Xenopus tropicalis: one gene and its partner. The protein of the gene in region 1 interacts with the protein of each later gene in a biochemical or structural test. Links are inferred from orthologs where the notes say so. Each region holds a gene or a part of one and is shown on either strand. Other genes may lie near its edges. The genes, in order: plxnd1 and sema4a.

Region 1 (4,382 bases):
GATGCCGGGAGTTGTAGCTGAGTAAAAGAAGCTGTAGGAAGCATTGCACAGACAGATGCAGGGAGTTGCACAGACAGATGCCGGGAGTTGTAGCTGAGTAAAAGAAGCTGTAGGAAGCATTGCACCGACAGATGCAGGGAGTTGTAGCTGAGTAAAAGAAGCCGTAGGAAGCATTGCACAGACAGATGCCGGGAGTTGTAGCTGAGTAAAAGAAGCTGTAGGAAGCATTGCACCGACAGATGCAGGGAGTTGTAGCTGAGTAAAAGAAGCCGTAGGAAGCATTGCACAGACAGATGCAGGGAGTTGCACAGACAGATGCCGGGAGTTGTAGCTGAGTAAAAGAAGCCGTAGGAAGCATTGCACAGACAGATGCAGGGAGTTGCACAGACAGATGCCGGGAGTTGTAGCTGAGTAAAAGAAGCTGTAGGAAGCATTGCATAGACAGATGCAGGGAGTTGCACAGACAGATGCCGGGAGTTGTAGCTGAGTAAAAGAAGCTGTAGGAAGCATTGCGCAGACAGATGCAGGGAGTTGTAGCTGAGTAAAAGAAGCCGTAGGAAGCATTGCGCAGACAGATGCAGGGAGTTGCACAGACAGATGCCGGGAGTTGTAGCTGAGTAAAAGAAGCCGTAGGAAGCATTGCGCAGACAGATGCAGGGAGTTGCACAGACAGATGCCGGGAGTTGTAGCTGAGTAAAAGAAGCTGTAGGAAGCATTGCATAGACAGATGCAGGGAGTTGCACAGACAGATGCCGGGAGTTGTAGCTGAGTAAAAGAAGCCGTAGGAAGCATTGCACAGACAGATGCCGGGAGTTGCGCAGACAGATGCAGGGAGTTGCACAGACAGATGCCGGGAGTTGTAGCTGAGTAAAAGAAGCTGTAGGAAGCATTGCATAGACAGATGCAGGGAGTTGCACAGACAGATGCCGGGAGTTGTAGCTGAGTAAAAGAAGCTGTAGGAAGCATTGCATAGACAGATGCAGGGAGTTGCACAGACAGATGCCGGGAGTTGTAGCTGAGTAAAAGAAGCTGTAGGAAGCATTGCATAGACAGATGCAGGGAGTTGCGCAGACAGATGCAGGGAGTTGCACAGACAGATGCCGGGAGTTGTAGCTGAGTAAAAGAAGCTGTAGGAAGCATTGCATAGACAGATGCAGGGAGTTGCACAGACAGATGCCGGGAGTTGCGCAGACAGATGCCGGGAGTTGTAGCAAACCAAGCAGAAGCTTCAGGCTGTATTATAGGTGATACATTGACTCCCACCAGGTATATTCCCTGGGGTCCTAAACCAATGAGGAAAGCTGTAATGGGGTTCGGGGGTAAAGGCAATGAATGGGGGACAGGCTGAGAGAGAGAGAGACAGAGAGAGAGAGGGAGAGAGAGAGAGGGGGGGGGAGAGAGAGAGCTCGGCAGTCAGGGAGACGGAGAGAGGAAGCAGAGAAGCAGCATCAGTTGAGTGAAAGTTGTGCCGCCGGGAGGAGGGAGGAATCAGTAGGAGGGTCGGAGCTGGGGGGGGGGGAGACAGGGAGGCATCAGTAACTAGCGAGGAGTAACATCCTGGCAGCAACGGAGAGGGAGCCGGAGAAGGGCAGTGGGACAGAGGGGAGGGAGAGACAGGAGGCACAGGGCTGGCACAGGGGGCAAGGGACGCGGGGTATTATAGCACAAGGGGAGCCAAAGGGATGCGCAGCGGGAACAAGAGCTGAAGGATCGGCACCCACATCCCCTCAACGGCACCCATATCCCCGCACCCACATCCCAGCACCCATATCCCCGCACCCACATCCCAGCACCCTTATCCCAGCACCCATATCCCAGCACCCATATCCATGCCCACTGATGGCTGCAGCTGTCCTGCTCCTGTCGCTGGTGGCATTGGCCTCAGGGCTAGAGTTGGTCAGTAAGTTCCACTCTCCGCAGGTCACTAATAACTTTGCGCTGAGCGCCGGGGAGGGGCTGTTGTACCTGGCGGCGGTGAATCGCCTCTACCAGCTGAACTGGGAGCTGCGGCCGGAGCTGGAGGATGTTACCGGGCCGGTACCGGACTCCCCGTTGTGCCATGCTCCGCAATTGCGAGAAACCACCTGTGACTTCCCCCGGACCTCAACCCCGAACTACAATAAAATCCTACTACCCGACCCGGAGCAGGGGCTGCTACTGACCTGCGGATCTATCTTCCAGGGGCTGTGTGAGCTCCGCGCCCTGCGGAACATAACGCTCCGCGCAGTGCCCTTCCCTGTGGATAACGCGGTGCCCAGCATGCTCAATGTAGCTGCCAACCACCCCAACGCTTCCACCGTAGGGTTACTGCTTCGGGGGCCCAGTGGGGACACCAAGCTGCTTGTGGGCGCTACATACACCGGATACTCCAGCCAGTTCTTTCCCTGGAACCAAAGTATCGCTGACCATCGATTTGAGAACAGCCCTGAGATTTCAATCCGGGCCCTGAACCTGACCGCCTCCGAGAAGCTTTTCACTTTTGACATCAGTCCGTCCGATGACAACATATTCAAGGTAAAGCAGAGCTTTAAGGCCCGGCATCGCCTGGGGTTTGTCAGGGCATTCCAGCAGGGACCATTCGCGTACCTGGCCATGAACGTGGAACCCGCCCCTGCGGGGAAGGAGAACCGACCCAGTAGTGTTTTAGCGCGGATCTGTCTGAAGTCTGAGCCTAGAACAGAGCCGCGCAAACTCACAGAGTCCTACATCCAATTGGGACTGCGCTGCGAAGGCCCAGGAGGGGTGCTGTATGGTCGCCTGCTGTCAGTGTTCGCGGAGTCGGAAAACATATTCGGGATATTCGAGGGGAAAAATGAGGCGGCGCTCTGTATGTTCCCGCTGCGCTCGGTGGCGCAGGAGATACGCGGGGCGCGGAGGGGCTGCTTTGAGAGTCAGGACGCGGGGGAAGTGACTGTGTTGGACAGTGTGGTGCAGGGGACTGGCCCCAGCTGCGAACGCAGGAACGCCAAGGTCAAGGTTAGTGTTTATAATTATACATTATTTCTCTTGCATGAAATTGGGTATGATTATGGGGCTTACTGAGGAGGGCATTTCCAATCTTTGTTGTTTGCTGAGAGTTGTAGTTGCAGTCAAGAATACTATCCCCCTATCTGTAGGGGATACTGACAGTAAGATTTCTTTGTGCCCAGAGAATGTACTACATGCCAGTCCTTACTTGCCATGACTGCAGGTTCCACAGCCCCTTATACCAAACTATATATGTGATACATTGATATACATAGTCAGAACCCACAGTGCTTCATTCCCAGACACAGGTGCTTGGCAGGTTCCATCATCAGAAATCTGCAGTTTCAGGCCTTATTGCAAAGGAACATTTAGGGGCCACAGACCCAGAACCTGCACAGATTGGAGAGGGGGTTTAGAGCAGCTCTGAGTTCTGATTATTGTACCCTCTTACCCTTTATATATATATATCTATCACTGACATTCTCCTTCGTCCGTTACTCCTTTACTGCACCAGTGGAGCTTACAATCTAAGGTGCCTGTCACATTCACATACACTATAGTCAGTTTAATCGGGGGCCTGTATGTATTTGTAGTGTGGGAGGAAACCTGAGTACCCAGCGCTGGTTTAATACCTGCTGTTCCCTAGGCATGTCCCTCCCCCACACACACTTGTACCCAACTGTGCAATCAGTTTGGATTGGGATGTGCAGTAATGGGCTGTGGAGTTACAAAAAGAGTTGAATATTTTTTCTCTATATAGGTACTGGGGCCCAACCCTTACGCTGCTGCTCTAGGCCCGTGCCCTTAGGTGCCTATATAAATAAATATAACCCTGGGAGTACCCGGAGAGGACCCGATGATGGGGATCACCCCCTGAAACATATATTGATAGAATATGAATTGTACTGGAGAAACCCAAAGGAGTATGGGGAGCCCATACAAATTCCCCGCAGATAGCAGGGCCAATCACAGCCCTTTCCCTGTAACATTTTCCTGTAAGCTACGCCAGGCTAGTGGCTGCCCGCTGACAAGATGGGGTTGGTGGCACCCTACAAGGCAAGGTATTGGGTGCTACTGGCTCCTTTTGGGATGATTTTTAATGAATCAGCGCAAAAGGGGATTTTTAAAGGGTACATTACTTGTAATACAAATGACTCCCTATCCCTAAACCATTCCTCATGTATATATATATATATATAGAGCAGTGTATGCAATACTGTTTCCTGGGTGCCATGCAATTACAATTACAAATGTACCATTAAAGCCTTGGCAGTGTTTACTGAACATATACTGCAAAATGACATTGAATTCCATTTTCATTCATTAGCCAAAAAAAGCAGATTTTGGGTGAATATCCCCTTTAAGTGAATATTTTTCCCCCCCCCAATGACTTTCCATCCGAGTGTGCGTGGGCG
Region 2 (4,283 bases), on another chromosome or scaffold:
TGATCCAGAGCATCAGGGAGATTAAAGGTAACATCAAATTCGATGCTTGATTGAGCCATGACAGCGGAGAGGTCTCCGGGAGTAAAGCCCATACCATCTAACAGGAGGTTCTTTACAATAAATTTCCTGGGGGGGGCCTCATCCTTGTTACCATCCCATTTGATTTTCACCCAGTTCTTCCTTCTGAAGGGCTCATTATCTGAAAAATCTGGGGTGGCAAAGAGTCTCCTCCTTTCCCAAAACTGTAAGGGATTTACCGCTATAGTCTCACCCCCTGCCTGTATTGTCTCCACCTCTACCTGGGCTCCCTGTCCCTGCTGAGCTCCACTCCTGTCTGGGCGCTGACCAGCCTCTGATCTGCCTCCATTCTGTGTCCCTTGCTCTGCCTCCCTGATTGGCCTTCCAACATTAACCCTTTGTGTGACTGCCACTTGTCCATCACACTCAGCATTCACTTCCCCCACAGACTCACTCTGCACCTCACTCTCTCCATGTTCCTCAGTCACCCCCACAGGTACTTGCACCCCCACAGGTACTTGCACCCCCACAGGTACTTGCCCCACCACAGGTACTTGCCCCACCACAGGTACTTGCCCCACCACAGGTACTTGCACCACCCCCTGAGGAACAGAAGGTACTTCCATGTTGCTGCGAGTAGATGGTTCCCCTTCTGGCTCACAAGGATTCTCCCAGGGACTGGGCTTGGGCGGTGCTGGTGGGCTCGCTGGGCTCTTTCCCTCTGCTGTGGGCAATGCTGGGAAGTCTTGGTCAGACCCAATCGCATAGGTTGCTTCGACGTCTGCGGTGACTTGCGGGACATTCACTTTGAAACTTTTTTGCTCCTGCTTTTTTCTCTCCTGCTCTTCCAGCTCCTTCTCACTGAAAGCCATATTTTGCCAGTTCACTTTCTCCTTTCCCCTCTGTCTCCGGGGAGGCAAAGGTTTGGTGAATTCCGTGTCACTCTCTGAGCTGGTGGCACTGTTTGAGGTTCTTGAGTGCCTGACAGTCTGTACATTGTACCTCCTGCGTGTGGCTTGGTAGGAAGGCTGCATTGCGTCAAATCTCTGTTTGTTCTGATACACTTCCTTCCATGGCCCGACTTCCTGAAATAATGTCTGTATCCTGGATTCCACATCAGACAGTTCTCTACACAATGCATCTTTCTTTTGCTTTGTAGCCACTTTGTGTTTCTCATCAGACACGGCAAATAAGTTAACAAGACATTTAATAGACAGTTGCAACTTCTTTTTCTCATTCTGAAGAGCTGCTAATTCATTTAGAGCTTCCGCAACTCTTTCTGCTGTTATGGGCTGATTTTTATTTTTTTTCCTGCTTGTGCTCTTTACTTCCCCTTCAAACCGGCTCTCCCCCTCTGTATCCATAGCAGACGATTCCCCTTCACTTGCTGCCATGTGAATGTGCTGCTTCACAGTATGAGGCTTTTGCACCTGAGCTGCCTGCTCACCTAGACGACTTGCACCTGTGTTGTTAACCCCTTCAGCACCTGCCTGCTTTAGCTGCTTGTGGAGTGCTGCTGACTGCTTGCTTTCATGGCTATTCCCTGCTGTATTTACCTCTGCGGTGCCAGTGCCCCTGCCAGCACTGATGGGACTCTCAGCTTCAGCTTTGCCAGCGGGCACCATGTTGGACACTAGCGGTTCCTCTGCAGAAGAAGGTAAGTTCTTACCAGCAGTTTGTTCACCCTTGTGGCCCAAAACCTGACAGGCTCCCTCCTCAGACTCTGCAGATATTGGGTTTGGCACCAAGTCTGGAACGGAAGGACTGCCGGGCATCTTTGTTGCTCGCGTTCTGGTACCATCTGACGGTGCTCTGTGCAGTTCAGCCGCATCTTCGGCTGCACTCACTCCAGCCTCCACAGCCTTAGCTGTACCTGCAGGCATTGCTGGCTGCCCTGCTGTTTCTGGGGTTTAGTACTCACAGGTTTCTTTGGTGTTTGCTTTGCCTTCTCATTTTGCTTTCCTTTTGGTTTGGGGGTTGTTGAAGGGGTGGAGGGGGGACCTTCAGAGGAAGAAAATCCTTCACAAGCTGCTCCACGCCGAAGCCCAACTTCCTGATCTCTTGCAACCTGTACATTCTTTTGCTTTAGTTTTCTGGCCTCTTGCACAGTTTTCTCTACCTCCATATCACTGTCGCTGCTGTTCCTCCTCCTAGTAGATCTAGGGGTTCCCAGCGAAGATGACCTTAGTTTTGGCCTTGAAATTTCAGCACATGGGCTAGGCCCCAAAGCCTGGGCCTCAGATTTGCGAGGAGCTCTACCAGCCCTAGCAGGGCCTGGGCTTGCTCCAGACATGGACGAGCTCTATCAGACACACCCTCTTCCTATGGGGATCAGATAGGATCTGTGCCACTGTGACAGAATGCTCTGTTATACAGATAGCTAGAATCTCAGCCATAAAGCAGGGCAGGACTGCTGCTTACAATGGGGGGATCAGATAGGATCTGTGCCACTGTGACAGAATGCTCTGTTATACAGATAGCTAGAATCTCAGCCATAAAGCAGGGCAGGACTGCTGCTTACAATGGGGGGATCAGATAGGATCTGTGCCACTGTGACAGAATGCTCTGTTATACAGATAGCTAGAATCTCAGCCATAAAGCAGGGCAGGACTGCTGCTTACAATGGGGGGATCAGATAGGATCTGTGCCACTGTGACAGAATGCTCTGTTATACAGATAGCTAGAATCTCAGCCATAAAGCAGGGCAGGACTGCTGCTTACAATGGGGGGGGATCAGATAGGATCTGTGCCACTGTGACAGAATGCTCTGTTATACAGATAGCTAGAATCTCAGCCATAAAGCAGGGCAGGACTGCTGCTTACAATGGGGGATCAGATAGGATCTGTGCCACTGTGACAGAATGCTCTGTTATACAGATAGCTAGAATCTCAGCCATAAAGCAGGGCAGGACTGCTGCTTACAATGGGGGGGGGGGGGGGGGATCAGATAGGATCTGTGCCACTGTGACAGAATGCTCTGTTATACAGATAGCTAGAATCCCAGCCATAAAGCAGGGCAGGACTGCTGCTTTATGGCTGTGTCGAGAGTCAGAACTAGCCATGAGTGGGGGAGGTCAGAATTGATCAGTAGATCCCTATTCATACAGAAAGTGAAGAACGGGACCCCCCCCATCCGGCCACATTATCTGTTGCACTTCCCACTGCCAGATATCGGTTCCGCCGCTGCCCTGCAGAACTCGGAACACTGACCTGTTTCTGTCACATGACTCACTGAAACTTGTATATTATGATAAATAAAGTGCCCCCTGTTGTAGAATATAAGGATTTTAGAAGTCACCTTGGATTTCCATGACAAGGGCCTCGTGCTTTTATATGGCTGTGGAGCCCCTCTGTGCCTTATAATATCCTTATATGTTACAATAGGGGGTACTTTATTCAGTATATATTATAAGGAACTCCTCGGGGGCTTATAATATCCCTATATGTTACAATAGGGGGCACTTTATTCAGTATATATTATAAGGAACCCCTCTGTGCCTTATAATATCCTTATATGTTACAATAGGGGGCACTTTATTCACTATATATTATAAGGAACTCCTCGGGGGCTTATAATATCCCTATATGTTACAATAGGGGGCACTTTATTCACTATATATTATAAGGAACTCCTCGGGGGCTTATAATATCCTTATATGTTACAATAGGGGGCACTTTATTCACTATATATTATAAGGAACTCCTCGGGGGCTTATAATATCCCTATATGTTACAATAGGGGGCACTTTATTCACTATATATTATAAGGAACCCCTCGGGGACTTATAATATCCCTATATGTTACAATAGGGGGTACTTTATTCACTATATATTATAAGGAACTCCTCGGGGGCTTATAATATCCCTATATGTTACAATAGGGGGCACTTTATTCACTATATATTATAAGGAACCCCTCGGGGACTTATAATATCCCTATATGTTACAATAGGGGGCACTTTATTCACTATATATTATAAGGAACCCCTCGGGGACTTATAATATCCCTATATGTTACAATAGGGGGTACTTTATTCACTATATATTATAAGGAACCCCTCTGTGCCTTATAATATCCCTATATGTTACAACAGGGGGTACTTTATTCACTGTATATATATATATCAGTATGGGGGTGCCCCTGACTCCTGTCCCTGTGTGTTGGCAGTGCCCGGGGAGCGTTGGCATCGGGGGACGGTGAGTAGAGAAGGCCAAGCCATGCCCACGTGGAAGCGCTGTTGGGGGCTGCTCCTGGCGCTCCTGGC

What was found.
Region 2: the proteins of plxnd1 (region 1) and sema4a form a complex in vitro, tested with the Homo sapiens proteins (2 studies listed by IntAct, with this or other methods). The link is inferred for Xenopus tropicalis from reciprocal best matches to the Homo sapiens genes PLXND1 and SEMA4A.

What each region holds. Positions count from the first base shown.
Region 1 is NC_030680.2:132,018,699-132,023,080, reverse strand, and holds the start of plxnd1 (plexin-D1), read left to right. Parts: upstream 1-1,576; 5' UTR 1,577-1,839; coding exon 1,840-2,976; intron 2,977-4,382. UniProt on the Homo sapiens protein: Cell surface receptor for SEMA4A and for class 3 semaphorins, such as SEMA3A, SEMA3C and SEMA3E. Plays an important role in cell-cell signaling, and in regulating the migration of a wide spectrum of cell types.
Region 2 is NC_030684.2:142,870,695-142,874,977, reverse strand, and holds the start of sema4a (semaphorin-4A), read left to right. Parts: upstream 1-1,467; 5' UTR 1,468-1,605; coding exon 1,606-1,675; intron 1,676-4,186; coding exon 4,187-4,283. UniProt on the Homo sapiens protein: Cell surface receptor for PLXNB1, PLXNB2, PLXNB3 and PLXND1 that plays an important role in cell-cell signaling. Regulates glutamatergic and GABAergic synapse development.